Saccharomyces cerevisiae S288C: one gene and its partners. Changing the gene in region 2 together with the main gene of any one other region gives a genetic interaction. Each region holds a gene or a part of one and is shown on either strand. Other genes may lie near its edges. The genes, in order: CCW12, RGP1, COG8 and INO4.

Region 1 (7,421 bases), on a different chromosome or scaffold from region 2:
CTGCAGCCTCTCTGGATAGGTCTACATGAACAGTCTTATTCTTTTTGTTGAATATTATTTTGCACTGGTTAGAGTGTAATTGGAAAATAAGATCGTGCGAAACTGTATCGATATAAGGCCTTTGGTATTTTAACATGCTCCAGTGTCTTTCAATACAATGTTTTACCTTTTTTGTTGGAGGTTCATATTCATCATTGTTGCCTGAATCAGTCTCGGTTTTATGAAATCCAGTAGCGGCTTTTTCACCCTCAGTTCCATTGAGACAACTGCTTACCGCTAAAGATTGGTTTCCGGTATGAAGTGATGTTAACCTTTCAATGGTTACACCCTTCTTGGAGACGCTATCAAGAGCTATGCAAACTTCTTGACAATTAGTTAAGGGATTATATATAATTTTTGCCCGCACTAATTCCTGCTCCAACCTGTTGAGACGGTAATAACGACACTCTTTTATCAGAGATGCGGTTCTTTCCTCAGACAGTTCTAATTTGGAACCGCCCAGTAAAGATAATATATCTCGGAAAAATTCTGGGGACCTTGCAATATATGAGGGTGGTAATAAAGGTGGAAAGCCCGGCTTCTTATTTGACTCCCACTTCTCAATTTCCTCATAAGATATGCGAGAAATCGTTTCAAAATAGTTCAACCGGTTCCCTTCTTCATGGAATAATGATTTTGGTACCTTAAAGGGAACACCTCCAATATTAGTGAAGTGGTAGTCGTATTCTTTTATGAGTTTAACTAACTTGGGTAACTGAAAATATAATGCGTCCGCGAAAAGACAGGTAAATTGTACTTCGTTCTTAATATCGGGAAAATAACCTTGTAAATGTCTGTATATTATGATGAACACGTCTTCCGATCTATCAACAAATAGAATCGTATTTTTATCGTGCGTATTGAAGAATTGGGTGAAAAAATTGGGCGCATCCGAATTCAATGTAGCACCTGAGATCTCAAATAGCTTTTGGCCAATCCTAATCTTGAAAACTTCATGGTTTGGTAAAAGCTCGGGGGTAGTTTCTAACTCTTTTGTATAAACCACGATCTCGCCCTTTTGGCCAGACATCTGATATGAGCGTGCGTGTGAGTGACTTTACACTTGTCTATCCACGTCCTGAAGTTGTTCGTGTTCTTTGGATATTCGTGTTCAAGCTAATAATGAGCCTTTAAGGTAATACAATTTATAAACCACCACCTTGGCCTCGATCTATTGCGCTTATGTTGTCTATTAGTAATCAAGAAAAGAACCCTAAATCATCGGCGTCCCCTGTGGGGCTCTCGGAAAAACCGGTCCTGACGTCACTGAAAAGATTTCGGCACATGGTCATGGGACCAGAGAAAAATTAATCCGACATGTGGAATATTTCCTTCCGTTAAGGTAGTGAGCGCGGATTTTTTCTGATTTGTAATTATACGGGGAGCTCTGGCCAAAAAGGTCAGTATTTGGTGATGAAGTTGAATATCATCTTTTGATTTTCTTCTGTATCATTCTTTTTCTTTTTCCACACCCCTTCCGGACGGTATTCACATATTGTTGAGAGGTTAAATGAAAAATAAAGGGGTGGAAAATTAAGGACGAGATGTAAGGGAAAAGCATAAACGAAACATTATATAAAGGAGCACAATTTCCTCTCCCTTGCCAATTGTGCATATACCGTTTCTTTATAACGAAATTTCAACAAACCAGAACAACACAAGTACTACCAATAACCACAACAAAACATGTCTGACTTAGTTAACAAGAAATTCCCAGCTGGCGACTACAAATTCCAATACATTGCTATCAGCCAAAGTGATGCTGACAGTGAATCTTGTAAGATGCCACAAACAGTTGAATGGTCCAAATTAATTTCTGAAAACAAGAAGGTTATCATTACCGGTGCTCCAGCTGCTTTCTCCCCAACCTGTACTGTCAGCCATATTCCAGGTTACATCAACTACTTGGATGAATTAGTTAAGGAAAAGGAAGTTGACCAAGTGATCGTTGTTACTGTTGACAACCCGTTCGCTAACCAAGCGTGGGCTAAGAGTTTAGGTGTTAAGGACACCACACACATCAAGTTTGCCTCCGACCCAGGCTGTGCTTTCACCAAATCCATTGGTTTCGAATTAGCCGTCGGTGACGGTGTTTACTGGAGTGGTAGATGGGCCATGGTTGTTGAAAACGGTATCGTTACTTACGCTGCCAAGGAAACCAACCCAGGTACCGATGTGACCGTTTCCTCAGTCGAAAGTGTCTTGGCTCATTTGTAGATGCTATGTAATAGACAATAAAACCATGTTTATATAAAAAAAATTCAAAATAGAAAACGATTCTGTACAAGGAGTATTTTTTTTTTGTTCTAGTGTGTTTATATTATCCTTGGCTAAGAGGCACTGCGTATACTTCAAGGTACCCCTGTGTTTTGAAAAAAAACAACAGTAAAATAGGAACTCCGCGAGGTTCAGGAACCTGAAACAAAATCAATAAAAACATTATATGCGTTTCGAACAAAATTAAAGAAAAAGAATAAATATAGATTAAAAAAAAAAAGAAGAAATTAAAAGAATTTCTACTAAATCCCAATTGTTATATATTTGTTAAATGCCAAAAAAGTTTATAAAAAATTTAGAATGTATAAATAATAATAAACTAAGTTTACAACAACAAAGCAGCGGCACCAGCCAACAAAGCACCAGCAGCTGGCAAAGCCTTAGCAGCAGCACCAGTGTAAGAGGTGACAGAGTGAGTTGGAGCAGCAGAGGTGGTGTTCTTTGGAGCTTCAGTAGAGGTAACTGGAGCAGCAGTAGAAGTACCGTTCTTTGGGGCTTCAGTGGTCAATGGGCACCAGGTGGTGTATTGAGTGATAACGTCATCGACGGTGACGGTAGCGGTGGAAACCAAAGCTGGGGAGACAGTTTCAGAACAGACGTGGTCTTCACAAGAAGTGATGGTGACCAAAGTGGTAGATTCTTGGCTGACAGTAGCAGTGGTAACGTTAGCAGCGGCAGAAGCGACAGCGGCGACAGCGGCGATAGAAGCGACAGTAGAAAATTGCATTATTGATATAGTGTTTAAGCGAATGACAGAAGATTAATTTCTTGGTATGTTAGGAAAGAATAAAGGAGAATAAGAATAATTAGAACAATGTAGGATGGAAAGAAAGATTATCAAGCATGCCGACTTTATATACTTGAACGGAGGCAAAGGATGCAAAATTTTCTCACATTTCTTTCTGCCGTTATGTTGGAAGTAAGACTCCCATTATCGCAATACTGCAACACGAATATGCAAAATTTGCTGAGTTATCGCAGATAGTTGTTGCAAAGATAGCGGCGTAGGTGGCCGCGAAATGGGGAATTCCAAAACAAACGGTTTTTTTACTCCTGAGAAATACTTGTACGGGATAATCCAGGGCCTACCACCCACGCTTCGAGGATTGGCTTTTATTTTTTTTTTTTTGGTGGCGTTTTATTTCTTTCCCGCTTTCTGGGACTTGTGCGGAGTTTTGAGAGGGGCGCGCGGCAAAGGATTCCCAAAACGGAAATCAGACGCCAATAGCCAGCACTCAAAGCAGTTCTGGACCCATTCCGATTTTCCCATTTGGTTCTTGCGCGTGCTGATTCCGACACGCGCGTCTATAAATAGCATGAAGTATCCGCACACCGCAGCGTTAGTGAGGTGAGGGTGGCAGCAAGCTAATTCCCGCATCTGGAATCTGAACTGCCCCTTTTGGACTAACCGTGTGGTTCATGGGTGGGCGAAGTGCGCAACCTCGAAGGTTTTCTTTTGCGTGTCGGATTTTACATCCGGCGGTAGCGCATGATGCCATGGCTGGCTCCAGATACATCCTCAGGGCACCAGCATCTATAATTAGATTGGCGCAACATGGCTGGCTGCACTGCTGTCTTCACTTCTTTCTTTTTCCGGCAATGAATGATGTATGTTTTGTGGCAAAAGGGTCCGCATTGTACCTGTTTACAGTTGAGATTATCGTTTTTGGTAGCCCTTCATTACGGCATAACGTATTAAGTTTCTTTTATTTTGCTTTGCCCTGGTTTAAAAGACAATGTCGATTAAAAGTTAATTTTAATCGATTGAAGGAAATAAGAGGAATAGCGCAAGTTGTTAGGAAAGCGTTCTTTATCTCCAAGACTTTGCCCTGTATATAATTAAACACCTCAAAGCGCTTCGTCATGGATGGAGATTATTCGGCATTTTGACATACAGGAGTGCCACATGCGAAAGCGGAGTGGGCGTATTCTCTGGTTACCCTACATGGTCTGGCGGCGTTATTATACGGGAGGATCTTCGAAGGGAAGGAAGGAAAAAAAAAAAGAAAAGGCCAACGAAAAGCAAATATTATCTATCGTCGAAATTATCATACTATCTTACAATAAGAGTAGTAATTACTTTCTTGTTTGTATAGTGGAAGAGGAATTTGCGATAATAATAGCAAAAGTAACTAATCTCTAACAAGAAACCTTATTTATTTTCTCTTTCTTCTATATTGGTAAATACTAGACTCGAAAAAAAGGAACAAAGGGAAAACAGGGAAAACTACAACTATCGTATATAATAATGACCACTAACGAGGAATTCATTAGGACACAGATATTCGGTACAGTTTTCGAGATCACAAATAGATACAATGATTTAAACCCCGTTGGGATGGGGGCATTTGGGTTGGTTTGCTCAGCCACGGACACTTTGACATCTCAGCCAGTTGCCATTAAGAAAATCATGAAACCTTTTTCCACTGCAGTGCTGGCCAAAAGGACATATCGTGAACTAAAACTACTAAAACATCTAAGACACGAGAACTTGATTTGCCTTCAGGACATATTTCTTTCTCCATTGGAAGATATATATTTTGTCACGGAATTACAAGGAACAGATTTACATAGACTCTTGCAAACAAGACCCTTGGAAAAGCAATTTGTTCAGTATTTCCTATACCAAATTCTAAGGGGTTTAAAATACGTTCACTCCGCGGGCGTCATTCATAGAGATTTGAAACCGAGCAACATTCTGATTAATGAAAACTGTGATTTGAAGATTTGCGATTTCGGTCTAGCAAGAATTCAAGACCCTCAAATGACAGGCTATGTTTCCACTAGATACTACAGGGCACCTGAAATCATGCTAACGTGGCAAAAATATGACGTCGAGGTCGACATTTGGTCCGCTGGTTGTATTTTTGCCGAAATGATTGAAGGTAAGCCTTTGTTCCCTGGGAAAGATCATGTTCACCAATTTTCGATCATCACTGACTTGTTGGGATCTCCGCCAAAGGATGTGATAAATACTATTTGTTCCGAAAATACTCTAAAATTTGTTACTTCGTTACCACACAGAGATCCAATTCCATTTTCTGAAAGATTTAAAACAGTCGAACCTGATGCCGTAGACCTTTTGGAAAAAATGCTGGTTTTTGATCCTAAGAAGAGAATCACTGCGGCGGATGCCTTGGCTCATCCTTATTCGGCTCCTTACCACGATCCAACGGATGAACCAGTAGCCGATGCCAAGTTCGATTGGCACTTTAATGACGCTGATCTGCCTGTCGATACCTGGCGTGTTATGATGTACTCAGAAATCCTAGACTTCCATAAGATTGGTGGCAGTGATGGACAGATTGATATATCTGCCACGTTTGATGACCAAGTTGCTGCAGCCACCGCTGCCGCGGCGCAGGCACAGGCTCAGGCTCAGGCTCAAGTTCAGTTAAACATGGCTGCGCATTCGCATAATGGCGCTGGCACTACTGGAAATGATCACTCAGATATAGCTGGTGGAAACAAAGTCAGCGATCATGTAGCTGCAAATGACACCATTACGGACTACGGTAACCAGGCCATACAGTACGCTAATGAGTTCCAACAGTAAACGTGTTTTTTTAATGTCCCTAACCACTCATTCTTACTTCTTTTTGATGTTTCTTTTTTTTATGGTACTCATAAAAGTATTTACGTATATAGTTGTATAGAGGAAACAAAAAAAAAAAGATAAAACTCAATTACAAAGTAAAGTGGACGTATTTCGATCATGATTTTTTTCTGTTTTAACCGCATTGGATTTTCTTGTAAAACTGGAAGAAAAAGGAAACTAAAAAGTCAAGAAAGACCTTTTTAAGACTCCAAGAACCGTCACTTATGGCGTATTGTTTGTTTATCAGCACTTCTATCTTCGATAAAGGTTTGTCTGTCTTATATTGTTTACATTTCAAGTCTAATTCTGTGCTTTTACCGAAGAGGAATTTTCATAAATACGGAGAAAATATAAAAAAAAAGTAAATACAGAAAATAGAACAGTTGAAGCAGAAAAAGAGAACTTGCTAAATAGCTGTCTCACCCAGACAAGCGTATACTTACCACATTTAGTCTTTTGCAATCTCATTCTTGTTGAAGATAACTATTACATTCACGGACTGTGGCAGAAACTTCTCCTTAAGAAATTAGGAACTCATAAAAGGAATCAGCAGCTCTATGTAATATCAAAATCTTTTCTATTTTTTGTATTTATGCTCTCATTCATTAATTCTAACGGAGCTATTTATTATAAACAGTGAAGATATAAACCATATGTCTAATAGAACAAATTTCAAAAAGTCTTCAATTTCGTGGATGTGGGAATGCATTTATTAAAAATAATGAATGGCAACATACGACACCAAAATAGGAACACTTTCAGTACTATACAGAACTACGGATCTTAGTTTATTGAGTTTTGAGAAATAGGTTGATATGGAGACAATTTCTTAGCGTTATTAGAGGTTATAAGTATACAGAATAACCTACGAGTAGTCCTCAAGAAGATAAGACTCTGCAAAAGGTATCAATAATTTTACTTAATCATAGCACTATTTCTTCTTTCGCTTTGTACAGCAGCTCATATATTCCATTACATTATCAATTCTTACATCGTAGCATAAAACACTAAGATTCAAAAATAGAAAACTGTTGTATCTCAAAATGAGATACGTCAGTATGACAATACGTCATCCTAAACGTTCATAAAACACATATGAAACAACCTTATAACAAAACGAACAACATGAGACAAAACCCGTCCTTCCCTAGCTGAACTACCCAAAAGTATAAATGCCTGAACAATTAGTTTAGATCCGAGATTCCGCGCTTCCACCACTTAGTATGATTCATATTTTATATAATATATAAGATAAGTAACATCCGTGAGTTAATCTGATAAACCGTTTTGACAACTGGTAACTTCCCTAAGACTGTTTATATTAGGATTGTCAAGACACTCCGGTATTACTCGAGCCCGTAATAAAACAAAAACAATAAATCTTGTTCCTCGTGGCCCAATGGTCACGGCGTCTGGCTACGAACCAGAAGATTCCAGGTTCAAGTCCTGGCGGGGAAGATTTTTTTGCTCCGACAATTATGTCGCTACCCTTCAGTTTTGTTGAAAA
Region 2 (9,032 bases):
GAGGAAAAAGAAGGGATTCCACCATCTCAACAAAGACTTATATTCCAGGGAAAACAAATGTATGTTCATTCAGTGGTTAATTATCTTTTAAGTTTATTTACGTTTTTGAGACCTTACTAACGACCAGGATAGTGATGATAAATTAACAGTAACGGATGCACATCTAGTAGAGGGAATGCAACTCCACTTGGTATTAACACTAAGAGGTGGTAACTAGAACCATTTTCCGTCATTTATGGAATTTTATCGAAGGTGTTCATTAGAAAAGAAGACAAAACGAACATAAGTTCACTTGGACTTTGGAAGGCTACCGCCCCCAATTTGTCAAAAAAAAAAATACATACAATTTAGTCTATAGAGTCTGTTATAATAAATTAATTGTTTTTAGACGAGAAATGTGAACTAAAACTGTTTAGTATCTATCAAATTATCCGTTATAGCATAGTACGGCTATATATGGTCTGATTGCTGGTCTCATATGACTTTATGGTTTAAATTTCATAAAGCTGGCCATTGCATGGTTCGCGCTGGAAAGAGAGGAAAAGCGTGGTGATAAAGAGCAAACCAAGCATACTGTTATATGCGATTACAGACTATCTGACCAAAAGACATATTTCGCCATTTCTTCTCAATCATGTCTTCCAGGGCAATTTTGTAAGCACGATTGGATGTCCTCTTGTAGTATACCGAATTTCTCATTAAGAAAAGCATCCTTTGCGCTACAACTTTATCAAGTGGAAGTATATACTAAACTCGGAGCATGCTTTTGCCAACGATATCAGTCTTAGCAAAGGGACTTCTAAGGACGTTATTGACGCCTGATTAATCTAATCAAATATAGGTTTGTCATTTTTTTAAACCGAATGGATTGACTTTTGTTTTCATCATAAGTATTACTCTCTGATAGGATCTCTGTGGTACGCTAAAATCTATCTGAATTGTTTGGGACACTATGCATGAATTTCTTATCAGTTTAAAATTTCTATTAAGAGGATAATTTATTTCATATCTTGGGTAGATGAACCATTAGAAATGTTCGAAGTAGCTGCATTGTTATCTTCTGTTTTTGGATTTTCTAGTTGAGCTGTTGTATTCTGTGGAGCAAACTCCCCGGCAACACCACTGTCAGGATCTTGCGAAGAAACTTCCGAGCTTTTTATTTTGGTATTCTCTTCTGATATTTCTCCCTTTGGTTGCGTCTGTTCGCTCTTCAACTCATCTCCTTCTGTTTGAGAAGCGCTGTTTATACGTTGCGACTTAATTTTTTGCTCTCTTTCAGGAAACGAAGCCTCTTCTTCCAGTGCCCTCTTCTTTCTTTCCTTTCCAATCTTGTACTCCCTAGCATCCTGAAGTTTTTTCCTGTGCTCTTGATTGATTTTGTACAAAAGTTTCTCTTTGAAACTATCATCCAACGCTTCCACTTTTCTGGGTTCCTCGAACAAACCATCAACACCAGTCTTTTCGTTAACTTTATCAAAATCGAACAAGTATCGCGATCTTAGAAACCGTAAAGTTTGCCATTGTCTGATTATTTCATCTTTCGCTTCTCCACCGGAAGTTTCAGAAGAAATTTTTGATTCCCATTTCGCTTGGGCTGCTTCATAGACACCTTCAGGCTTCTTTACTTCTTGCTCAATTTTATCTAGACCAGTAGGTATTTTCCAAACATTATTAATCAATTTATTCCCCATCTTGATGAACGTAAACTTTTTAAAAGTTTCGTCAAAAGCGGGTGGCGGTATCTTCTCCTTAGATATTCTGAAGTTTTGGAATTCTTTAAAGCCATCGATCTTGGCGGTTGTAAACTTTTCGTCAGAAGACATTAATTTGCGGATAACACGATAAAAGTCAGGGTCTTTAATTTTATAAAATTTCAAAACACGATTGTCGCAAATGTATGAACATAAATTGAGCCCACGCTTTTTGTTAACTTCATCAAGGTTCTCAAAATCAATATCGCTCAACGGGTTTTCCCTCAAATAGCAGCTTTTATAGAAATTCCTCGTTTCATCAGAAGAAATTAAATTGCGTATAAGATTTGTTGTGAAACATAGTTGTAAAATGAACTGTTTGCGGTAGTAATCATCGTCCTCTTGAGTCAATTGTTTATAAAGGCAGGTCGTATTGCTCAAAGAGATATCCATAATGGTAGGTCGAAGAGTGTAGTCATCTGATTCTTTAATATTCTGTAGATTCGCCCAAAATTCATTCCTGTCCATTTTCATTGCGTTTGAATGCTTCATATACACGGGTAATTTAGGGGTCATAACATCGTAATTCGCGTAATACTCAGTGTTCAGAGCTTCCTCTAAGGAATATCTAGTCCTATTGTTCATCTTGATTTTGCTGTAAAAGTTCTCTTCGATTTCCAAGATTGCATCAAGAAGGGGACTTAATGATCTGTCCACATCATTTTTATATTCTAAATCGCTAAAAGCAAATTCGATCGGGCAAATAATTAGATGATAAAACACGAAGTTATAATCTGCAGCAAATATAACGTCGGAACTGCGGTTGCTTTCTCGTTCACGTGCTGATCTGTTCCATTCGTTATCAGATTCTTGTAAAGCTGAAATAGAAGCGGATCTATTGAAGTTCGATTCTTCATTTATAGGTAGTAGCTCGGATAAAAAGTTCTCTAGTTTGTATTTCATATTATAATGTTTGACGGTATTAAGGATGTCATTATTCTCTAATTTAGCTAAAATATCGTTCCAGTGGCGCAGCTTTTCGTATAAAGGCTGTTTGTAACTAATCAAATTGCTCTCCCCCAATGATACTGGCTCAACAGATGTATTCATTTTGAACCATTCGATACGTGATTCAGCATAGGGCCAAAACTTCAAAAACGTAGATGGTGAGTTTAGCAAATCAATGATGGTGGAAAATAACTCGAAAAAGGTATTTCCCCAGCTAGCTGGATTAGATCTATTAAATCTTGAGTTATACACAAAATCGAGACCTATACACGAATTTAGTAACCCTTTTTCAAGATTATTTTCTTCTTCGTCTTCAATAGCATTTGTCATTGAATCTATAATGAATCTTTTAAGTATAATGTCAATCAAAGAATCTCTATCATGAATTGCCGAAATATTTTTTTCGAGCGGTTCCCATTCAAAATTGAGAACACTTGCATGCAACATTGAAGATGGAAGTGGTTCATGTCGAATGGAGTCAAACGAAACTGGGAGTGCTTTAAAAGTTTTCTGGAGAAAACCTATTGAGTTTTGGATCAATTCCTCGGTATTAGACATTATTACTCCTTTGCCCAAGTTTTAATGCCTCTTGAATTGTTAAAATCATCTATTAATTTACTGATCAAGCTATGGCAAAAACCTGATCATTCTAACGAAAAATGTCATTAGAGAAGCAATATGCATCGTGCGAAATGAGCAGTCTTGAAATCGCACGGACAGCAACCCATGACATCAAGAGATGACTATTACGACAATAAAGCCGGTTAACTAACTTATAAATGTATCTGTACATACCCTTTATGAAGAGAGTATAGTAAATCCTCTTTACTGGATTGGATTCAAATGCAAAACCAATTATACGAGTAAACTGCACCCATTTATTGCTTACCATCCCATGAAATCTTCGGATGTACACAGTATTGGAATGGGAACGTAACATGTAAACTCTTCACCTTCTAAATTCTCTTTTGAATGGAATAGGATGCCCTTTTTATCCTCATAAAATTGATCCAAAGTGATACTTTCTGTCTTTGCAATTATTACAAATTTTAGTCCTATCATCCACTTATGTTGAAAAACATCTGTCTTGAATTGTCCGGTAATCTGGTTTGTAGGCGATCTTGGAGGAAGTAATTTCACCGATACGGACTTGCACTCATCGAAACAAATAAAATGTTTCTCATACACCGAGTTTCCTTTTGGTTTGCTCCCTATTCCTTTTCCTTCAGTCTTATATTTTGGATTTATAATTTCAAACGATTCTAAGGATACAGTCAACGAAGTCACTTTAAGTAAAGGCGTCGTTATCGGATCTAATTCAATGACTAAATTTATATCATCAGTTGTCTTATAAAAAGGTGCTGATAAGGATACTTTTGCCATAGTCTCATTATTTCTGTTAATTTGATATGCGTTCTGTAAATTAATTAGCTGAGGTAGAAGATTAGAATTCTCATCTGACTTAACGAGAGAACAATCGTTCCACATCTTTTGCTCGAGGTTAGAAATGTTATCGCGTACCGAATAACTTTTTCTCCTCTTAGTTACAGCATCGCTTCTCAGGCTAGACTCTGCAGACGTCACCATTTCGTTCGAAAAGTGTGAGTCGTTGGGTTCAGGATCCGAAGAATCCTCATCCTTTCCGAACTGTACCCCCATTTGCAAGTCAATAAGTTCGTCTATATCTCTTGACACATTTTGGTTAGATTCCACCAGTTCAATGAAGTTTTTTTTGACACGCTTGACAAATTCATTATCTTCTAATGGAGAATCAATGTCAATTATAGAAGATTTTCTCCTACCAAATGATACAGCAGAAGCCGTAGAAACTTTTCGAGTAAACAAACGTGGCTTTAGTTCCTTTATGTTACCTGTCTTTAATATGATAGCAGGCTTATCCAGACGTGATGTGTACTGTTCGGCATTCGAACTAATATATGGTGCTATTGTTATTGGGACTCTATTTGAAAATTTCTCGATATTATCATCAGAAAGTACATCCGCACCAACCTCCAGCGTGTAATTTATTGATGCCACTTTTGACGATGAATAACTTGGGCATATATCTTTTGGCAGCTTTGTGGATTTAAAATAGAATGTTCTTACTTCACCTGGTTCTAAAGAAATTTCAGAAAATAAAAGCGTCTGTGGTATTAAAAGAAGAGGTAATGTTTTTATACTGGTATCGTTTGATATCATTAAGGTCCGTTCGTTATAGGTACCTGTTCTTCCCCTAGAACCGCTTTCTGAGAAAAGAAGACCATTGGTCACATTTGTATAATCTGAGTTGAGGTAGTTGGTTAAATTTCTTTTACCTTTGAAATGTTCTCCATCTTCCAATGCAAGAACAGAATTTGTCGTATGTCCAGGTACAATATCTAGTCCTACCATTTTTACTTCATCTTGTTTAAATTTTGACTCTGAAATTACCTCTGAATCGTATTGAAAGACCCCCGATATTTGAACATAACCGGATATTAACGTTACAGGTTGATGAAAATACATTTGCTTCTGTATTTTTTCTCTTAACATCTTACTCTCATTTAGCATTTTCATGTTATCCACATCCACACTCTCTTCAGGTTCGCCTGTTCTTTTGAAGGCACCTAGTAATGATTTTAGGGACCAGGTTTGATTTTCCATCGTGCCTTCACCATCATCTTGCACTTTCGCTTGTTGTTCCAACTTCTCTTCAACAGCTTTATCGACAGTGAGAAGCTTTTCTTTATAGTTGAACAATTCATGCTGTGAGCCTAGGTGCTTAAATCGGAAAGCAATTGATATATGTTCTCCACCAAAATAGGAATTCGATTCATGTATGATCTCCAGTTTGATGTTTTCTCTTATGAGAAATGTATCGATTCTGTGCGCACGCATATCTTCTTCTAAAGTATGAAAAATATCACAATCAAAATCAACAGCTCAAGAAATTATGGGCTAGCTTTCGCTGTTTGTTTCGACTGGCAGCCTTTGCATTGCCCCGTAGGTATCAAAGCTTCTTTGAAGCTGAATTGATCTTGAAAAATAGCACTTTGGAGACGCGCCTTACGCTTTATAGGAGACTTCGGAGTAGACTTCGATTAAAAAATAAAAATTACACAAGAAGTTCAAGTATTATGTTTAATATTCAAACAACGTTTCCACCTCATGGAGAAATGAAGACTTTTATCGTTCTCCGTGAGGTGGATTTACTGTTATTGTCGTTAGAGTTCATGAATGTTTCTCTTGCGCGAGCAGATCTACTGGTCAGGAATCTACATTACTTTGCAATCCATAGTACGCTTGTTATGCTGCATCAATACGAATATATATATCTAATGCTAACATCTGGTTTCTGTAGATATCTTGGCGTGTGTTTCTTTATGATAATACAAAAATATGTAACTCCTGGTGTGATGCTTGGGCGGTGGAAGGTTACGGCTTAGTAATTACGAAATTGATGAAAAAAGTTAGCAGCTGCTATAAAAGGTGCGATAACCTCTTGTGATCATCTGCTATGTGGAAGCTGGTTTACAACCTACAATTTTTCAATTAACAGTTTGAGAATAAATTAGGGGTATCGTACTACCGTAAAGAACAAGAAAATGGCTGGTAATCTTGTTTCATGGGCCTGCAAGCTCTGTAGATCTCCTGAAGGGTTTGGACCTATATCCTTTTACGGTGACTTTACTCAATGCTTCATCGACGGTGTGATCCTAAATCTATCAGCAATTTTCATGATAACCTTCGGTATCAGAGATTTAGTTAACCTTTGCAAGAAAAAACACTCTGGCATCAAATATAGGCGGAATTGGATTATTGTCTCTAGGATGGCACTAGTTCTGTTGGAGATAGCGTTTGTTTCACTTGCGTCTTTAAATATTTCTAAAGAAGAAGCGGAAAACTTTACCATTGTAAGTCAATATGCTTCTACAATGTTATCTTTATTTGTTGCTTTAGCCTTACACTGGATAGAATACGATAGATCAGTTGTAGCCAATACGGTACTTTTATTCTATTGGCTTTTTGAAACATTCGGTAATTTTGCTAAACTAATAAATATTCTAATTAGACACACCTACGAAGGCATTTGGTATTCCGGACAAACGGGTTTCATACTAACGTTATTCCAAGTAATAACATGTGCCAGTATCCTGTTACTTGAAGCTCTTCCAAAGAAGCCGCTAATGCCACATCAACACATACATCAAACTTTAACAAGAAGAAAACCAAATCCATACGATAGCGCAAACATATTTTCCAGGATTACCTTCTCTTGGATGTCAGGTTTGATGAAAACTGGCTATGAAAAATACTTAGTGGAAGCAGATTTATATAAATTACCGAGGAACTTTAGTAGTGAAGAACTCTCTCAAAAATTGGAGAAAAACTGGGAAAATGAGTTGAAGCAAAAATCAAATCCTTCATTATCATGGGCTATATGCAGAACTTTTGGATCTAAAATGCTTTTAGCCGCATTCTTTAAAGCAATTCATGATGTTCTAGCATTTACTCAACCACAACTACTAAGGATTTTAATCAAGTTCGTCACAGACTATAACAGTGAGAGACAGGATGACCATTCTTCTCTTCAAGGGTTTGAAAATAACCACCCACAAAAATTACCCATTGTAAGAGGGTTTTTGATTGCGTTTGCTATGTTTCTGGTGGGCTTTACTCAGACATCTGTCCTGCATCAATATTTCCTGAATGTCTTCAACACAGGCATGTATATTAAGAGCGCCCTAACGGCTTTAATATATCAAAAATCCTTAGTGCTATCTAATGAGGCTTCTGGACTTTCCTCTACCGGTGACATTGTCAATCTCATGAGTGTGGATGTTCAAAAATTACAAGATTTAACACAATGGCTAAATTTAATATGGTCAGGGCCTTTTCAAATCATTATTTGCTTATATTCTCTGTATAAGTTGTTGGGAAATTCCATGTGGGTTGGCGTGATTATACTAGTTATTATGATGCCATTGAACTCATTTTTGATGAGGATACAAAAGAAGTTGCAAAAATCCCAGATGAAGTACAAAGATGAAAGGACCCGTGTTATAAGTGAAATACTAAACAATATTAAATCTTTGAAGTTATATGCATGGGAGAAGCCTTATAGGGAAAAGCTAGAAGAAGTAAGAAATAACAAAGAGTTAAAAAATCTTACAAAACTAGGATGTTATATGGCTGTGACAAGTTTTCAGTTCAATATAGTACCATTCCTTGTTTCATGTTGTACCTTTGCTGTATTTGTTTATACTGAGGATAGAGCATTGACTACTGACTTAGTTTTCCCTGCTTTGACTCTGTTCAACCTGCTCTCATTCCCACTAATGATTATTCCTATGGTTTTAAATTCTTTTATCGAAGCTTCTGTTTCTATTGGTAGATTATTTACATTCTTTACCAATGAAGAGCTACAACCAGATTCGGTTCAGCGTTTACCAAAAGTAAAAAATATTGGCGATGTAGCCATTAACATTGGAGATGATGCTACCTTTTTATGGCAACGGAAACCGGAATACAAAGTAGCCTTAAAGAATATTAATTTCCAAGCTAAAAAAGGAAATTTGACCTGTATTGTTGGTAAAGTTGGCAGTGGTAAAACAGCTCTATTGTCATGCATGTTAGGTGATCTATTCAGGGTTAAAGGTTTCGCCACCGTTCATGGTTCTGTTGCTTATGTTTCACAAGTTCCATGGATAATGAATGGTACTGTAAAGGAAAACATTTTATTTGGGCATAGATACGACGCGGAATTTTACGAAAAAACGATCAAGGCCTGTGCGTTAACTATTGATCTTGCAATTTTGATGGATGGAGATAAGACATTAGTTGGCGAGAAAGGGATCTCCTTATCTGGAGGACAAAAAGCTCGTTTGTCTTTAGCAAGAGCAGTTTATGCGAGAGCTGACACTTATTTACTTGATGATCCTTTGGCAGCTGTTGATGAACACGTTGCCAGGCACTTGATCGAACATGTGTTGGGTCCAAATGGTTTATTACATACAAAAACGAAGGTATTAGCCACTAATAAGGTGAGCGCGTTATCCATCGCAGATTCTATTGCATTATTAGATAATGGAGAAATCACACAGCAGGGTACATATGATGAGATTACGAAGGACGCTGATTCGCCATTATGGAAATTGCTCAACAACTATGGTAAAAAAAATAACGGTAAGTCGAATGAATTCGGTGACTCCTCTGAAAGCTCAGTTCGAGAAAGTAGTATACCTGTAGAAGGAGAGCTGGAACAACTGCAGAAATTAAATGATTTGGATTTTGGCAACTCTGACGCCATAAGTTTAAGGAGGGCCAGTGATGCAACTTTGGGAAGCATCGATT
Region 3 (8,413 bases), on a different chromosome or scaffold from region 2:
TCCTGTTTATTTTTTTTTCATCGCTGTCAAATGGGTCTTCGATCTCGGCAACTTCCCATTCCTTTGGATTTTTTTCCATCTCTTGCTCGTTTTCTTCTTGGGTAGCTTCGAATTTTTTCTTCTTTTCCTTCAACTCCTTTTCTAGTTTCTCAACATTCACCAACTCCTCAGGGGAATACACCAGATTGATTGGGATAAATGTTGTTGAAACATTGACAATGCTTTCGGTAACTTTGTGTTCGTGGTCTTTTAATTTTAGTTTTGAAATTTCTTCTTTGCCATTATTCCCAACATATTTTCCTGATTTAGGATCTTTTTTGAAAACATTTGATGTAGGAATTTGTACAGAGCCAATGAAACGGTCTTTGCCGATCTTTTGATAATCATGAAATTCGAGAGTCAAAATTTGATTTGGAGAGAAGATAGGAACGTAGGTGCTGTTGTCAAAAATGGGATGATCCGTATCAGAATGATATATGGACTTGTAAAGAACACGTCTATTCAACGATACGGTGTAATATGGATCAACATCCCCTACACCGGATAAGTCACCCTTGATAATGGCATCCTTAACGTCTAGCTTAATACAACCAATAGGTTCGCTTACAGAGTTTGCAGCGGCAAAAGCTCCGGTCATTTCAATTGATTTCCAAGAAACATCCAAATAAATGTCACCTTGTGGTGAGCCTTTAACAAACTCTTGAGCAGTGTCTAAAGTAGTCATTATATCATCTAAAGAAGATGAATACTCACAGATCAGCGCCTTACCATTCATTCTGTCATCGAATATTTTTAGGACAAACTTAGAGTTAGATTTTGATGGAACCAAAACTTCGATGGTCTCATTCCAAGATGGCTCATTGATACGTCTCAAAGTTCTATAGCTCTTTACTTTTTGTCCATCAATGAATAATTCAGCACATGGGCTCAAGCTACCGGTCATAGAACTGGTTGTATCCAGATATTTGACCTTTTGTAAAGTGATCTTGGCAATCCCGACATCAGTTTGAGAACTTTCTTCATTCTCGTCTTCTTCTTTTTCAGTAGTGTCCTCGTTTTCATCTTCTTTCTTGCCCTTGGCCTTAGCTTCGGCACGCTCAACTGCTTTTTCCTCTGATTTATCTTCTTTCACAGGGAACCAGTGTAAGGAATAATGTAAAATACCTTTTGATTTTGTACCGGATCTTAATTCAGCAGTTTGATTATCCAAAACAGGGTTTTGTAGTAAATCTGCCAAGTCAAGTTGAAGATCACCAATTACGGTATCTTTTCTTACATCATTGAAGTCAAAGCACTTTAAGTTTAACTTTTGCTCTAAGGTGTTTAATAATAGATATTTGGTTTCGTTCCAACGTGGATTTTTAACATTTGATTTGATAGATGTACGCACTTCTTCATCTGTACCAGGCACAGCATCTTCGGTAGTCATAACAATATAAGGATCGACAGTATTGGTAATGAAATCTGAGCCTTTCAAAGAGTCGGCAGAAGCAATGGTTACGGCAAGGACACCAATAGCTTCTTTTGATTGAGCAGCCATAATGTCTTCAACATTAATATCCAAATGGTTCGGAGGGAATAGCATAGGCCCTATATTGGAGTTGATAATGTTTTTAACAAAACTCTTCAAACCAGGCAAGAATGACATAACATCAAGACCTAAAGTATCACCACCAATTGGTTTCAGTGCGAAATCAATCAAAGGTGGTTCTAAAAGTTGTAAAGAAACAATTTTGATATTTGGGAAAGCTTTACCAAATTCAACTTTAATACGCATTTTACCAGCAACGTTAATGTCTTCAACCAAAATAGGCATTGTTTTAGAGACAAAACTTTTTCCTAACGTGACACCCAGAGATATTTTTGGATTGATCTTCTCCCTAGCTTCAGTAGCTGTCATATCCGAGACATCGCTTGGGGTGAATGCAAATGACCAATCCATTTCAACAGTGTTTTTACCAGTCTTGGTGTACGATTTAATACCTTTTATGGTGGGAGCTTTAGAGCCCAGAGTGAATTCATCGATAGCTAACGCATCGATACCGTAACCTGGAGCAACACCTGCCAGTTGAGGGTTAACGTTATCTTTGACTTGTTGAGATAAAACTGGCATGTAAATCACCCAAAATTTTGATAAAAATGAATTCAACCACGTAGTGGATTCAACGCGATCCGACAAGGTTTCTTCGACTGTAACTCTTTTCAAGTCATCTCTGATATTTCTGTTGAATCTTGTATATTCTGCGTTGTAAACGGTCGCAGTTCCCAAGAAGATAAATATCATAGACCACCATGAAAACCCAATGTAAGCAAATAACCATGAGAAGAAACAAGTTCCAAGAACGGTGGCTATATTACAGTACCAATCGTTATAAAAATTTTCCAGAATGTAAGCTTTTATAACCCTGGACATCTTTGTATTTGGCGAACCCTTTCCTGAAGCATGGAACTCACCAACATTTTGCCATGGAAATAACTTGTCGTCGGAATCTAGGTGAAATTTTTCCTTAATATCCTTTTCATCAAGTTTGCCTAAGTCGTCTAAGACGCCAGGCTTAGTAATCGAAGTGTCGAATTTATTTGGCTTCCTAGATGGTGCTGATCTGAATTCCTTCGGACGTAAACCTTCCAATGGCACGGCTCCTATGCTTCCCTGTGGGTTGGGACCGGGCAATTGATTGGTTTTTTGAGCGCTGGAGGCAACAAATATGTCTTTTGATGACTGTTTCTTACCTTCCGGGTTGGAGTCAGCAGTTTTCTGACCTTTAGACACATCAGAAACTGAATTTGAGGTCTTTGTGTCATTTGCGTCATGGTTAATCAGTTGGTGGTATTGATGGTGACCCGATGGAGCGTGATCAGAACCCCTTTCTTGTTGATTTATGACCTTTTGAGGTAAATTGCCTCCTACTTTCTTCTTCTCCTCCTCATGAAATAGGGTACTATCAGGTGGGGGATGGACTTGAGCTTTGATGCCAGTCATTTTTCTTGACTTTCAATGCGTAGCTCTACTTATTTTCTTTCTAGCAATATTGCGTATGTCAATAAACAAAGCTAGCTAATGATGCTCTTTATATTGTTAAGAAGAAAACTGATTAAATTAAGTAACGCTAAAAAGCAAAGTTGTCTATCAAAGTGAAATGTATCGCAATTGGAAAAGGTAAGTGCAATTCTAAAGGATGTAAGGTACAATTATCCCTTTTTCCCTTTCTGACTGCAGCAGTGTGTTGTAAAGGTATACATACATTCTCGTATTGTTGTTTCTCCCCCTTCTCGCGCTGGCGAAGAAGTGAAAAAAAAAAATAAAAAAATGGAAATTTCGGACGATCGTCATTTTGAAAATACATAGTGAGCCAATATTATACTAGGAGTATATATATTTAGAGGCCAGTTCTGCTCTCTTGTCAATTGCCCGGGCGAGCTGCTCGGTCGTAAACAAGCTAGTGTCATTGATTTTTTTTAGGAAGAGGTGGTGGTAGTTTCGATTCAGGTCGCAAAGACGGAATGAACAGTACACCAACTGCAGGCAAACGGAGTCACTCAGCTTGATGCTATTTAACCCACGAGTGAGGTCTTTTAATACGTATGTTATGCACTTATCAACGAATTGCAACATGACTGCATTTGTAGGTATTTTGTTTTCCCTTTTTGAAGTCCGAATCTTTTTGCTTGGCTCCTCTGGGGTCACTTCAACCTTATTAATTTCTTCTTCTTCTTTTTCTGCCTTGTTATCTATGCTTTTGCTTGGCTCTTCTGGGGTCACCTCAACCTTATTAATTTCTTCTTCCTCTTTTTCTGCCTTGTTATCTTTGGTATTTACTTCTTCCTCTTTTTCTTTTTCAGCCTTGTCTTCTGTTTTGTTTACTGTTTCATTTTCTATCTCATTTTCTGTTTTCCTTTCTGCTCCATCATCTTCGCCTTCCACTTTGCCTTGTACTTCCTCTTGTACATCTTCTATCGATTTATTTTCTGTCACATCTTCTTCATTGTTCGCTACGCTATCTTGTTTTTGATATTCTTCCTTCTTTGTTTCTTTCTCCTTTTCTTCAATTTCTTTCTCTTCGTTAGTCCCATTTATCCTTAGCACAGTACTTTCTAGTTCCTCTGGGAAAGGAATCTCTAAGTCATTTGTATCATACAAGAAGCTTTTCAGAAAGACATTCAAGGACATGTAGACATGTTCCCTGAGGACTTCAATTTTCCTCTTAACCATCATTTCAATTAAAGATTCATTAGAAGACTCAACGTCCAAAGGATATGATGCTATTTCATCGGTAATGAATTTGTATCTCATGGCTAAAAACACACTTAATAATGATTTATTAGTCTTTCCATCAAATGGTGGAATTGAATTCAAGTACTGTAGTATTTTCTTTAGTGAGTTTACTGATACATTAGTAGACAGTAATTTTACCAGCCCGGATAACATGGTAGTACTAATTTCGTTTAAAACTTTTTCGCAAACTTCATCCACAATGGTTGAACCAGGGAATCTTGACCTCAGGGAAGTAGTGTGTGTGTATAGCATGACGGCCTCCTGGTAATGACCTGTTCTGATACATGTGCGGGCCAAAAATGGTAGTTCCATCAAATCCGTAATGCTATCCAAATTTTCTAGTACAGTGACTAATGTGTCAGATCTAATGTCGTCCTTGTCATCTTCTTTAGTTGAAATTCTGTTTCTTAACCTACTTAATGCCTTGTGAAACTCATCCTCCTTCTTCTTTCTTGCCAGATTGTTACTCTCAGTCGTCATGATGCGACCTGTGTCGTTGTCTTCTTTATCGTCTTCCAAAAAGTCATCAATAGAAACGCTTTCATTGTTTATATCGTCATTTGTAACGTTTCGATCGGCTGCCTTATTAATATTAGTATCCAATTCCCATAATTGCTCCAAAGACTTGGCTATATCATCCAATTGAGCCCTATCATCGTTTTCAAGAATATTTCCGATAATCTGAGACGTATTATCTAGTAGTGTTTTCCTTATCTTTCTATCAAGGGCAGATAATTCAGCATCAATTTCTGCTATGTCTTCAGTTATGCTACCAGGAACAGCCCTAGATGAAAAATAACTTTCATAGTCTTTCGTGTTAGATTGTAGGATATCCTGTAGGAAATCAAGACTTAACCGTTTTTGTTCCTCTGTTAAATCATCAGAAATGAGGCTGTTTAGTATCAGCTCCATTTTACTCAATGATTATGTTTATTGTTGAAATATGTTCCCTCAAATGTCCTAACACTTCTATGATTATTTTTTCTGTGCTTCTCTTTTCAGTATGTTACTACGCTATATTTTTAGACATTGAAGCCATGATCGCGAGATCGATCTAATGTACGTATAAAAAGAAAATGGACTTCAAGAGTACAACTAACTAAAGGAAAATCCAACTCTTCCTATAAATTTAGAATTAGCATATTCAAAAAAGAAGAAACAAAGCACTCACGATGGGGGTCGAACCCATAATCTTCTGATTAGAAGTCAGACGCGTTGCCATTACGCCACGCGAGCTAAATTTCTTGAATTGTTGGGTAAACAAATATTACTAATACAAATGTTATTAGAAACCAAAAATGCACTTTTCCGGGGTTAATATATATGATTGAGTGATGGATGAAGAATGAGATAATTGTTTAAATTCTATAGTTGTCAAGCGCTGTGATACCAGATACACAAAATGTACTAGAGGTTCTCCTCGAGAATATGAAAATCCACAATAGAGAACCGATATTTCTGTGTAGGAATATTATTATTTCTTCTTTCATTTTGTATGTTCTCGTTCATTTTCCTAGCACATTATCAACCCTTTCATTTCAATTTCCATTAAAATTGGTGACTGTTTCTCAATATTTATTTGACCGTCTTATACCCAATATGGTAATATACCAGTAATATAAATACTAGTCGTTAGATGATAGTTGCTTCTTATTCCGAAAATGAGTATGGAAGTGTTGCATATGATAGGGCGGCTACAGTGATGGTAAACATAAGATACTTTAGCGGGAAATTAGCAACTGGAAGTTAAATTATCTAGACATAAGTGTGGCGGTCACGCTGAACGCAGGAGATCGGATAGATTGATAAGCTGATCAAGAACATTGATCGGTTTGTTGTTTAAAGAATGGTTTTTGAAAACGTTTGACCAGTTGCTTCTCCCAGACGCTTACCGATATGATGATAAAGATAATATCTTCAATTGAATACCCCGTGGATCAGCACGAATAACAGAAAAAAAGGGTGAAATTCACCGTAAGCATGATACGCACTACGTTCTTCTTACCTTTGCCAACGTGTTGTCTTTGACGTACGTAATTATGGGAGATCGTTGATGATTAGCCCCAGCTCACTTTCTTCTTAATGACTGACCCGCTACTATCAAAATTAAGGTGTCAAATATCATGATGAATGAGGTCTCTAGGCGACTCAATTATACATCTTTTAGAGATTTTTTTACTACTTGCAGATAATTTCTCAAGGGATTAGATTCAAATCTGGCTTGTCAATTACGCCCTTTTCAAGCTCATCAAATTGCGTATGTCATTCATGCTTCCATTAGGAACCATAGAAGCATGGCTGAAATGGCAATATACGGCTTCCCAATTTCAACTCTAAAGTAATGGCGGTCGAATTTAATCTATATTTTACAGTTTTATACGTACTTTAAAAGCAATCAGTAAACACCTCTGGTGCTATTCAAGGGTTTTTTGCCTTTATTTGTTACTGTCAATTGTCTGGCGCTGTGATAAAAAACAAGGCATAAAGCTCCCCCGTCATGAACATTAAGACTCGCTAGACGAGAGAGTGAAATATAATGCATTTCCTGATTTAAATGCGCTACAAACATGGTGTAAATCTGGCCCGGAGTGAGTGCTTGCCAATTTGGCTTCTAAGGGAGAAAGATCAAACCACTCCCAATTGCGTCATTTTGAAAGAGTGGCCACCTCGCGAGCGTCTGTCGAACTAACTGATGAATAAATATATAAGGAGAAAATCACTTCAACTTCGCTACAAGTAGTCACTATTTGTAGCAACTGTAAACGAACACATCAAAGAATAAGATTACATTCTATATCTAAGACTAAATTTTAAATGTCCGCTAAATCGTTTGAAGTCACAGATCCAGTCAATTCAAGTCTCAAAGGGTTTGCCCTTGCTAACCCCTCCATTACGCTGGTCCCTGAAGAAAAAATTCTCTTCAGAAAGACCGATTCCGACAAGATCGCATTAATTTCTGGTGGTGGTAGTGGACATGAACCTACACACGCCGGTTTCATTGGTAAGGGTATGTTGAGTGGCGCCGTGGTTGGCGAAATTTTTGCATCCCCTTCAACAAAACAGATTTTAAATGCAATCCGTTTAGTCAATGAAAATGCGTCTGGCGTTTTATTGATTGTGAAGAACTACACAGGTGATGTTTTGCATTTTGGTCTGTCCGCTGAGAGAGCAAGAGCCTTGGGTATTAACTGCCGCGTTGCTGTCATAGGTGATGATGTTGCAGTTGGCAGAGAAAAGGGTGGTATGGTTGGTAGAAGAGCATTGGCAGGTACCGTTTTGGTTCATAAGATTGTAGGTGCCTTCGCAGAAGAATATTCTAGTAAGTATGGCTTAGACGGTACAGCTAAAGTGGCTAAAATTATCAACGACAATTTGGTGACCATTGGATCTTCTTTAGACCATTGTAAAGTTCCTGGCAGGAAATTCGAAAGTGAATTAAACGAAAAACAAATGGAATTGGGTATGGGTATTCATAACGAACCTGGTGTGAAAGTTTTAGACCCTATTCCTTCTACCGAAGACTTGATCTCCAAGTATATGCTACCAAAACTATTGGATCCAAACGATAAGGATAGAGCTTTTGTAAAGTTTGATGAAGATGATGAAGTTGTCTTGTTAGTTAACAATCTCGGCGGTGTTTCTAATTTTGTTATTAGTTCTATCACTTCCAAAACTACGGATTTCTTAAAGGAAAATTACAACATAACCCCGGTTCAAACAATTGCTGGCACATTGATGACCTCCTTCAATGGTAATGGGTTCAGTATCACATTACTAAACGCCACTAAGGCTACAAAGGCTTTGCAATCTGATTTTGAGGAGATCAAATCAGTACTAGACTTGTTGAACGCATTTACGAACGCACCGGGCTGGCCAATTGCAGATTTTGAAAAGACTTCTGCCCCATCTGTTAACGATGACTTGTTACATAATGAAGTAACAGCAAAGGCCGTCGGTACCTATGACTTTGACAAGTTTGCTGAGTGGATGAAGAGTGGTGCTGAACAAGTTATCAAGAGCGAACCGCACATTACGGAACTAGACAATCAAGTTGGTGATGGTGATTGTGGTTACACTTTAGTGGCAGGAGTTAAAGGCATCACCGAAAACCTTGACAAGCTGTCGAAGGACTCATTA
Region 4 (7,158 bases), on a different chromosome or scaffold from region 2:
ACCTTCAAATCCGATAAGAACAGGTTATCGTGGAGGACTTTGCCCTTCAAAAGCAGTTTTATCTCGCTTATGTGGGAGGCCTTTTCCTCGCTGATCAAGTGCTGTTTTATTTGTAAGATAGTATCTGATGGGCTGAAATCATGCTCGATGGAGAACTTGGGAGCTTGAATTTTCTTTAAGGTTAAGTGGACGGCGGCGTTGTCTTGACCTTGCTGATCTTGGTGCAGTTTTAACTTCTTGGCACGATTCTGCTTATATTTATACTTCAAAGTAGGCAACGGGACACCCAAATTGGTAACATCCTTCAGAGGTTTAGTATAGCTTTTTGGTAGCTTCGGTTCAGTTAAAGTGGCTAAGGTCAAGAATTTACTAACGAACTCGTGTTCTGGACCGCTGGCGGATGTGCTCATGATTAATTTTGTATAAAGTTATTATTCTTCGCTAGTTTATCTCTGTATCGGTCTGTTCTAACCCTTTTCTCCAACTATGTTCTCCTGTGCATGTTTTCTTCTTTTCGTTTTTCCTTTGTTTTTTTTGGTCGTAGTTGTCGCAAGCTCGGCCTCCGGCCTGATTTTAAAACTATTCCTAATTCAAGATTCGGTAAAAAAGATATATAATAGCTAAGGGGAGGAGAGGAATAAGAGGAAAAAGTTACATTAGAGGACAATACTCAATCTAACCCTTACTAGATGTGCGATAGCCATCAAAAGGAAGAAGATAACGCAAATACGAGCGAAAGGGCGTTATTTTTTAATTACCATGAGTTTTCGTATTCATTCTACGAAGACCTCGGTTCCGAAGACGCTAAACCCACAGAGCACGACGAAGACCACAAATTGTGTATTACACATTTCCCGAATGTGTATGCTGCTCGGGGCTCTGCCGAGTTCCAGGTGACCCGGGTGGTACGAGTGCCCCGGCGGTTCGATGAGTCTCGCAGCAGCCTTGAAACGCCACAATTTAGTACACAGCTTCCCGGTAGCGAGCCGGCGGCAATCGTGGGCGACGATGGCACTAGCTTTGTGCGGTGCGGGCGTTACGACATTGGGGATCACGTGTTTGGCTGCTCCTCCGTCTCGCCTCTGTCAGAATATCTTAGTGCGGCAGAGCTCGCGGAGGTTGTGCACCGGGTAAACGGATTCTTGCTGCGTGAAGAAGGTGAGGTGTTCGGGTGGCGTAACTTAAGTGGCCTGTTGCTCGATATGCTTACGGGCGGTCTGTGGAGCTGGGTTTTGGGGCCCCTTCTTTCTAGACCTGTGTTTCAGGAGTCTCTCGCGTTAGAGCAGTACGTGGCGCAGCTAAACTCGCCGGGAGGTCTGCTTCACGAGCGCGGTGTGCGCCTAGTATTGCCCCGACGGTCCGGGTGCCTATCCCTAGATTTCGTCGTGCCCCGACCCAAATAGTTAAACGTGTGGTTTATGGGTGCACCAGGGCTTTATCGTGTTTTATATCGATGGCGATTTGTGCCTCCAGTGTATTTTTGTATATCCAATTAAGGTTTCTTACCTAATTTTATTTTTATCATCTTTAGTTAATGCTGGTTTGCTCTGTTTCTGCTGCTTTCTGTGCGGTTCTCCTCTTCTCTTGTTTCTTCGTGTTGTCCCCCATCGCCGATGGGCTTATATGGCGTATATATATAGAGCGAGTTTTTACGTCGAAGATCATCTCAGTTTGCTTGATAGCCTTTCTACTTTATTACTTTCGTTTTTAACCTCATTATACTTTAGTTTTCTTTGATCGGTTTTTTTCTCTGTATACTTAAAAGTTCAAATCAAAGAAACATACAAAACTACGTTTATATCAATTAATAATGTCTGAAATTCAAAACAAAGCTGAAACTGCCGCCCAAGATGTCCAACAAAAGTTGGAAGAAACCAAAGAATCTTTGCAAAACAAGGGCCAAGAAGTAAAGGAACAAGCTGAAGCTTCTATCGACAACCTAAAAAATGAAGCTACTCCAGAAGCTGAACAGGTGAAGAAGGAAGAACAAAACATTGCTGATGGTGTCGAACAAAAGAAGACCGAAGCTGCCAACAAAGTTGAAGAAACTAAGAAGCAAGCTTCCGCCGCCGTCAGTGAGAAGAAGGAAACCAAGAAGGAAGGCGGTTTCTTGAAGAAATTGAACCGTAAAATTGCTTCCATTTTCAACTAATCACACTTGAATGTGCTGCACTTTACTAGAAGTTTCTTTTTCTTTTTTTAAAAATAAAAAAAGAGGAGAAAAATGCTGTTTATTCTGACCTTTTACATAAATTTTTCTTAATTGTATCTATCTAATAACTAATCAATATAATAATAATAATACTAATAATAATAATAATAATAATAATAATAGTAGTAGTAGTAGTAGTAGTAATAATGATGATGATGATGATGATGGATGATCAAAAGCCACAAAAAAGAATGCTCCGAGAATAACCTCGGCGGTTATTTCACGTCCCGGAGGAAAAAAAGTTTGATAAGAAAGTAAAAATATGAGCGGTACGAGAATCGAACCCGTGTCCCCACCTTGGAAGGGTGGGATGATAACCACTACACTAACCGCCCGGGTTAATTGTTATTAGTTGGTGAAACTGATCTCAATCACTATAACATTATGGTCTCTTAATAGCAAAGGCCAACCAACTGACTTCTTGCAAACTGATGTTCAATTTTAGCTCTAAAATAAAACAATGTAAAAGAAAGATAAAATGACATAAAGCACTATCGCTTCAACGGCAAACAATATTGAAAAAGTATCACATTATAGTAAGTTGAACACTAAAAGATTAAATAAATACTTCGGCACACTTTCGATGAAGGAAAGCATTAGTAGTAACGTATATATATCATTGTTGTTGCTACTTTTCTTTGTGGGATATGCACCACTCCCCTCTGCAAAGTGAAGAAAAGGTATGGGAAGAATTTCTTCGCTTATATTACTTACTTTACCCTACTCCTTGAATCACTGACCACTCTGTCCATCACCCAGCTCCCAAATTAACTCCTTCGGTACTAAATCCCGAATGTTTCCATTTTGTTCTTGTACGGGATCGCTGCTGCTGCTGCTGCCGGTTTTTGCCTCATGCTTAGCTATGATTTGTTTTCTCAGCTTTTCATTCCTTTCATACAACCAACTTAAGTAACTCAAGCTTTTCAGGTATATGATTAGTTCTGACCGACTTTCCTGGGGTTGCAGGTCAGGTACTACTGCTACCAGTTCGTCAAATATAGCTCTTTCCAATTCTCTCCTTTTTTTTTCAGACGAAACATGATTTATACGTATTTGACCATCAGTCAATTTATTAATCTTCTTAGACCTGCGTTTCCTTTTCTTCACATTAGCCAGTTCACCCTTTATCTCCTTAATCTCGGACAATCCCGGCTGTATTGTTTGTATCTCCTTAATATCGTTCGTCATTATTGCTTTTCTCTTTTTAGTTCAAGCCGCCCTCTTAACTCCTTCGTCAAGCTTATCTTGTTGGCATTGGAATTTCGCAAACGCAATCGCGCCTCTGTCTTTAAGGTGAGAAAAACATGTGAATATTTTGTTTGATACGTAACAAGCTCATACAAACCAAGCCAAGAAAAAGAAGACGACTAATCTATTTATAACAAAGATATTTGTTCACTATAATGCAATATAGTTCGAGGTTCCTAGAATTGAATATCCCGGATTCATTTTTAAATATCAATAAGATTCCTGATGCTACTAAATTTATTACAGTCACTTATATATGCTTAACTGCAACCCTTTTCTGTATAAGGAGATCCTTGTACAACAAGCTAGTTCTTGAAGACCCTAACTTGGACTACAACTTGATTACTTCGCCGCTTTTGCAAATGGTACCTTCGCAGATTTGGAGGTACCCCACCTCATTAGTTCTATCCAACTTCATCGACACTAAAGCTTGGAAGGTGGTAGTGAACTTATTGAATTTGATCATTGGTGGATCCTTCATTGAACGCAATTGGAACTCTTCCAAAGAAATGTTCAAATTTATCATAGTTTTAGGTTCTCTTACAAACGTTCTGATCATCATGCTGACTTTGTTAGTATCTTTTTTCTCTAATAAGGTAAGGCTGGATATTCCCTTAGACGGGAACTACACAATTTTAATCGGTTTCCCTATCATTTATAGACAGTTATTGCCTGAAACAACTATAATCCATCTGAAGACACCTCAATTTTTGGCCAAAAACTTTAGGTTCAAATTACTACCCATTTTTGTAATGTTTACAATGACGGTAACCCAAATAATATGGTTTCATCATTTTGCTCAATTGTTCTCCATTTGGGTTACCTTTTTTGCCAGTTGGTCGTACTTGAGGTTTTTCCAGAAACTTGCACCCTTGAATTGTCCCTCTTTGCCAACAACTAATTCTCAAGGTGGTCAGGAAATATTGGTCGGCGATGCATCTGATACTTTTCAATTGATTTACTTCTTTCCTGATCTAATTAAGCCGATTTTGAGGCCGATTTTCAATTTCATTTATAATGTAGTTGTTGTAAAATTTAAAGTCATTAAACCTTTTCATGATATTGATATAGATATTGGGAACACCATCGCAGAAAGTAGAGGCGCCAAAAAAATTATGACTGTAGAAGAAAGACGAAGACAGTTAGCTTTACAAGTTTTGGAAGAGCGTATGGTAAACCCTTGATATATGGATCTATATAACTTGAAATATGCTCTATTATATCGTGATTTAATGACGGCTGTTGGCATTTCGGTCTTTACCAAGGTAGTAGGATTTGTATGCTGAATGTGCGCCAGTACTATCGAACCATAGAAACCCATATATTCCCCAATATTAATAATTCTACTGAGAAATGGGTGAATTTTGAAATAATTGTTGGGATTCCATCGTTGATAAAGGCTATAATATTAGGTATACAGAATGTACTAGAAGTTCTCCTCGATGATATAGGAATCCCCATAATGGAATCTATATTTCTATGTACCAATATTACGATTATTCCTCATTCCATTTCATATGTTTCATTATCCTATTACATTATCGATCCTTGCATTTCAGCTTCCTCTAACTTCGGTGACAGCTTCTATAATAACTTATGTCACTATCTAACACCGTATATGATAATATATTGATAGTATGACTACTAGTTGATAGACGATAGTTGGTTTTTATTCCAACATCTACATAGTGGCACTCACTACGCTGCTAAATTTGATCATTTGGTGAATAATTTGATAATTAGTAGTTCTTCTCCGGGATATAGGAATCAACAAAAGGAAAACGATAGTTTTACATAATAATATTAATTTATCTTGCTTGGTTCGCCTTTGAAGAGCGCAGCTTTCAGAGATTTAGCTTCTATGGCCAAGTTGGTAAGGCGCCACACTAGTAATGTGGAGATCATCGGTTCAAATCCGATTGGAAGCATTTTTTTTTAATATTTTAAAATTGTTTATATTTTTGTACCACAAACATCATTAGAAGCTGCAAATGAAGTGAATCAGAAAATTTAAAAATGAAACTAAATACTAAATATTATTGTTCTTTTTCTAACAGTTGAAGTGCCAAAAGCAGTAAATTGTTTAAATATTAGGGTATAAAACATGATATTATAAAGTTAATGATTTAGAATGGCTCCGTCCAGCAGAACCAGTTGATTACCATTAATGTTGAGAGTTTATGCGAGTTTTTCAGGCTCGATTATGAGATACGGTACTAGATAATTCAGGATTATCAGGATTATCAGGGTTTACCACTTGCAATGGTCCGCTCATCATCATGTCGGGTAAAGAATTGGCACTGAACCTTTCATTTGCACTATTCAAAGTATTTGCCTCTTCAAAAACTGTCGATGGAAGGTTCTGTTTCTGAACCGTAGCATCTTGTAAGCCAGCCAAGTTGTTTATGATGCTTCCACTGGTGTTTGAACTAGGACTACTATAATTTGCACCATTACTCATAGAAAAACCATACATATTACTTGTACCGATAGAACCCGCTGTATTACCCCTTGAATGTCTCATCCAATTTGTCGTACCAGAGGAGGGAGGCGGTCCTATTGGATTTGCATCCTCATCACCGAACGAATAGGGCTGATAATGTTTCGTTTCCTCCAAGTCTAATTGGTCGTGCGATTTCCGTCTCCTCCATATCAGGAACAATAGAATCAAAATAATAAAAATTACGCCAAACACAACACCAATAACAATACCGGCAATGGCTCCACCACTCAGACGCTGCTTCGAAGTCGAATTAGATCTATTATTTGAGGCGGCAGCAGTAGCAGTAGCTACCTCAGAAGATCGTTCAACCACGGATGTCCTCGTAACAAATATTGTTTCCTGATGTTGATCAGAAGTACTCACGATCGCTTTTGTAACCACACTAGTCACTAGTTCCACTGAGGTAACTATTGGTATCGTTGATGACGTACTAGGGGTCATTGAGGTCACTTTTGGAGTTGATAGTGTGCTGCTACTCGAGGACACTGGCACCAAGGTGGAAGAGGGTGAAGAAGTACGGCTATCGACTGTGGTATGCTCAGATGAGGACAATGTAATGGATGAGGAGCTAGACGTAACAGAAAAGATAGAGGTAGTAGAGGAGGTAGTAGAGGAGGTAGTAGAAGAGGTAGTAGAAGAGGTGGTAGAAGAGGTGGTAGAAGAGGTGGTAGAAGAGGTGGTAGAAGAGGTAGTAGAGGAAGTCGAGGAAGAGGTAGTAGAAGAGGTGGTAGAAGAGGTGGTAGAAGAGGTGGTAGAAGAGGTAGTAGAGGAAGTCGAGGAAGAGGTTGTTGAAGTGGTAGAAACTGTCGTGGCTATCATTTCAGAACTTTTCATATCTGTTGACGTTCTCCTAGTAGTTGAAGAAATTTGGGCGGAGGACAATGAAGAAGTTGTTGAGGGCATATAGGAAGTGCTAGACCCTTCTTTGGAAGAGGAAGATTCAACCGATGAAACAAAAGTTTCAGCATTTACATACACGTTCATGTACGATGACCCTCCACACATTTGGTAAGGCCAGCCAGAGCATTTAGTTCCACAGTTTGAATCTGTTGATTTCGTCAAAGAAGTCAGAAAACTTACCGAATTACCGCAGTAACAATCTGACCCGTTAAATAATGCTACTACTGCTGACTCAGGGCACTGGTTTTGACAGTATGACACTGATTGATATATGTATGAGTTTTTCAGAGACAGT

What was found.
Region 1: mutations in RGP1 (region 2) and CCW12 together harm fitness more than expected from each alone (negative genetic interaction), as found in Saccharomyces cerevisiae (4 studies listed by BioGRID, with this or other methods).
Region 3: mutations in RGP1 (region 2) and COG8 together harm fitness more than expected from each alone (negative genetic interaction), as found in Saccharomyces cerevisiae (5 studies listed by BioGRID).
Region 4: mutations in RGP1 (region 2) and INO4 together harm fitness more than expected from each alone (negative genetic interaction), as found in Saccharomyces cerevisiae (4 studies listed by BioGRID).

Annotation. Positions count from the first base shown.
Region 1 is NC_001144.5:367,056-374,476, forward strand, and holds CCW12 (Ccw12p), read right to left. Parts: upstream 3,044-7,421; coding exon 2,642-3,043; downstream 1-2,641. Other genes in the region: YLR108C (uncharacterized protein), read right to left, coding at 1-1,069; thioredoxin peroxidase AHP1, read left to right, coding at 1,726-2,256; YLR111W (uncharacterized protein), read left to right, coding at 3,336-3,668; YLR112W (uncharacterized protein), read left to right, coding at 3,736-4,155; mitogen-activated protein kinase HOG1, read left to right, coding at 4,565-5,872. UniProt on the Saccharomyces cerevisiae protein: Component of the cell wall. May play a role in the formation of a tightly packed outer mannan layer, which protects the inner glucan.
Region 2 is NC_001136.10:724,803-733,834, reverse strand, and holds RGP1 (Rgp1p), read right to left. Parts: upstream 5,577-9,032; coding exon 3,585-5,576; downstream 1-3,584. Other genes in the region: NEDD8 family protein RUB1, read left to right, coding at 1-59, 133-217; HPR1 (Hpr1p), read right to left, coding at 999-3,257; ATP-binding cassette glutathione S-conjugate transporter YCF1, read left to right, coding at 6,284-9,032. UniProt on the Saccharomyces cerevisiae protein: The RIC1-RGP1 complex acts as a guanine nucleotide exchange factor (GEF), which activates YPT6 by exchanging bound GDP for free GTP. It is thereby required for efficient fusion of endosome-derived vesicles with the Golgi.
Region 3 is NC_001145.3:126,385-134,797, forward strand, and holds COG8 (Golgi transport complex subunit COG8), read right to left. Parts: upstream 5,189-8,413; coding exon 3,365-5,188; downstream 1-3,364. Other genes in the region: TCB3 (Tcb3p), read right to left, coding at 1-2,983; DAK1 (dihydroxyacetone kinase), read left to right, coding at 7,091-8,413. UniProt on the Saccharomyces cerevisiae protein: Acts as a component of the peripheral membrane COG complex that is involved in intra-Golgi protein trafficking.
Region 4 is NC_001147.6:108,487-115,644, forward strand, and holds INO4 (Ino4p), read right to left. Parts: upstream 3,401-7,158; coding exon 2,945-3,400; downstream 1-2,944. Other genes in the region: MDY2 (Mdy2p), read right to left, coding at 1-410; SHR5 (Shr5p), read left to right, coding at 690-1,403; ZEO1 (Zeo1p), read left to right, coding at 1,811-2,152; YOL107W (uncharacterized protein), read left to right, coding at 3,616-4,644; WSC3 (Wsc3p), read right to left, coding at 5,652-7,158. UniProt on the Saccharomyces cerevisiae protein: Transcriptional activator of phospholipid synthetic genes (such as INO1, CHO1/PSS, CHO2/PEM1, OPI3/PEM2, etc.).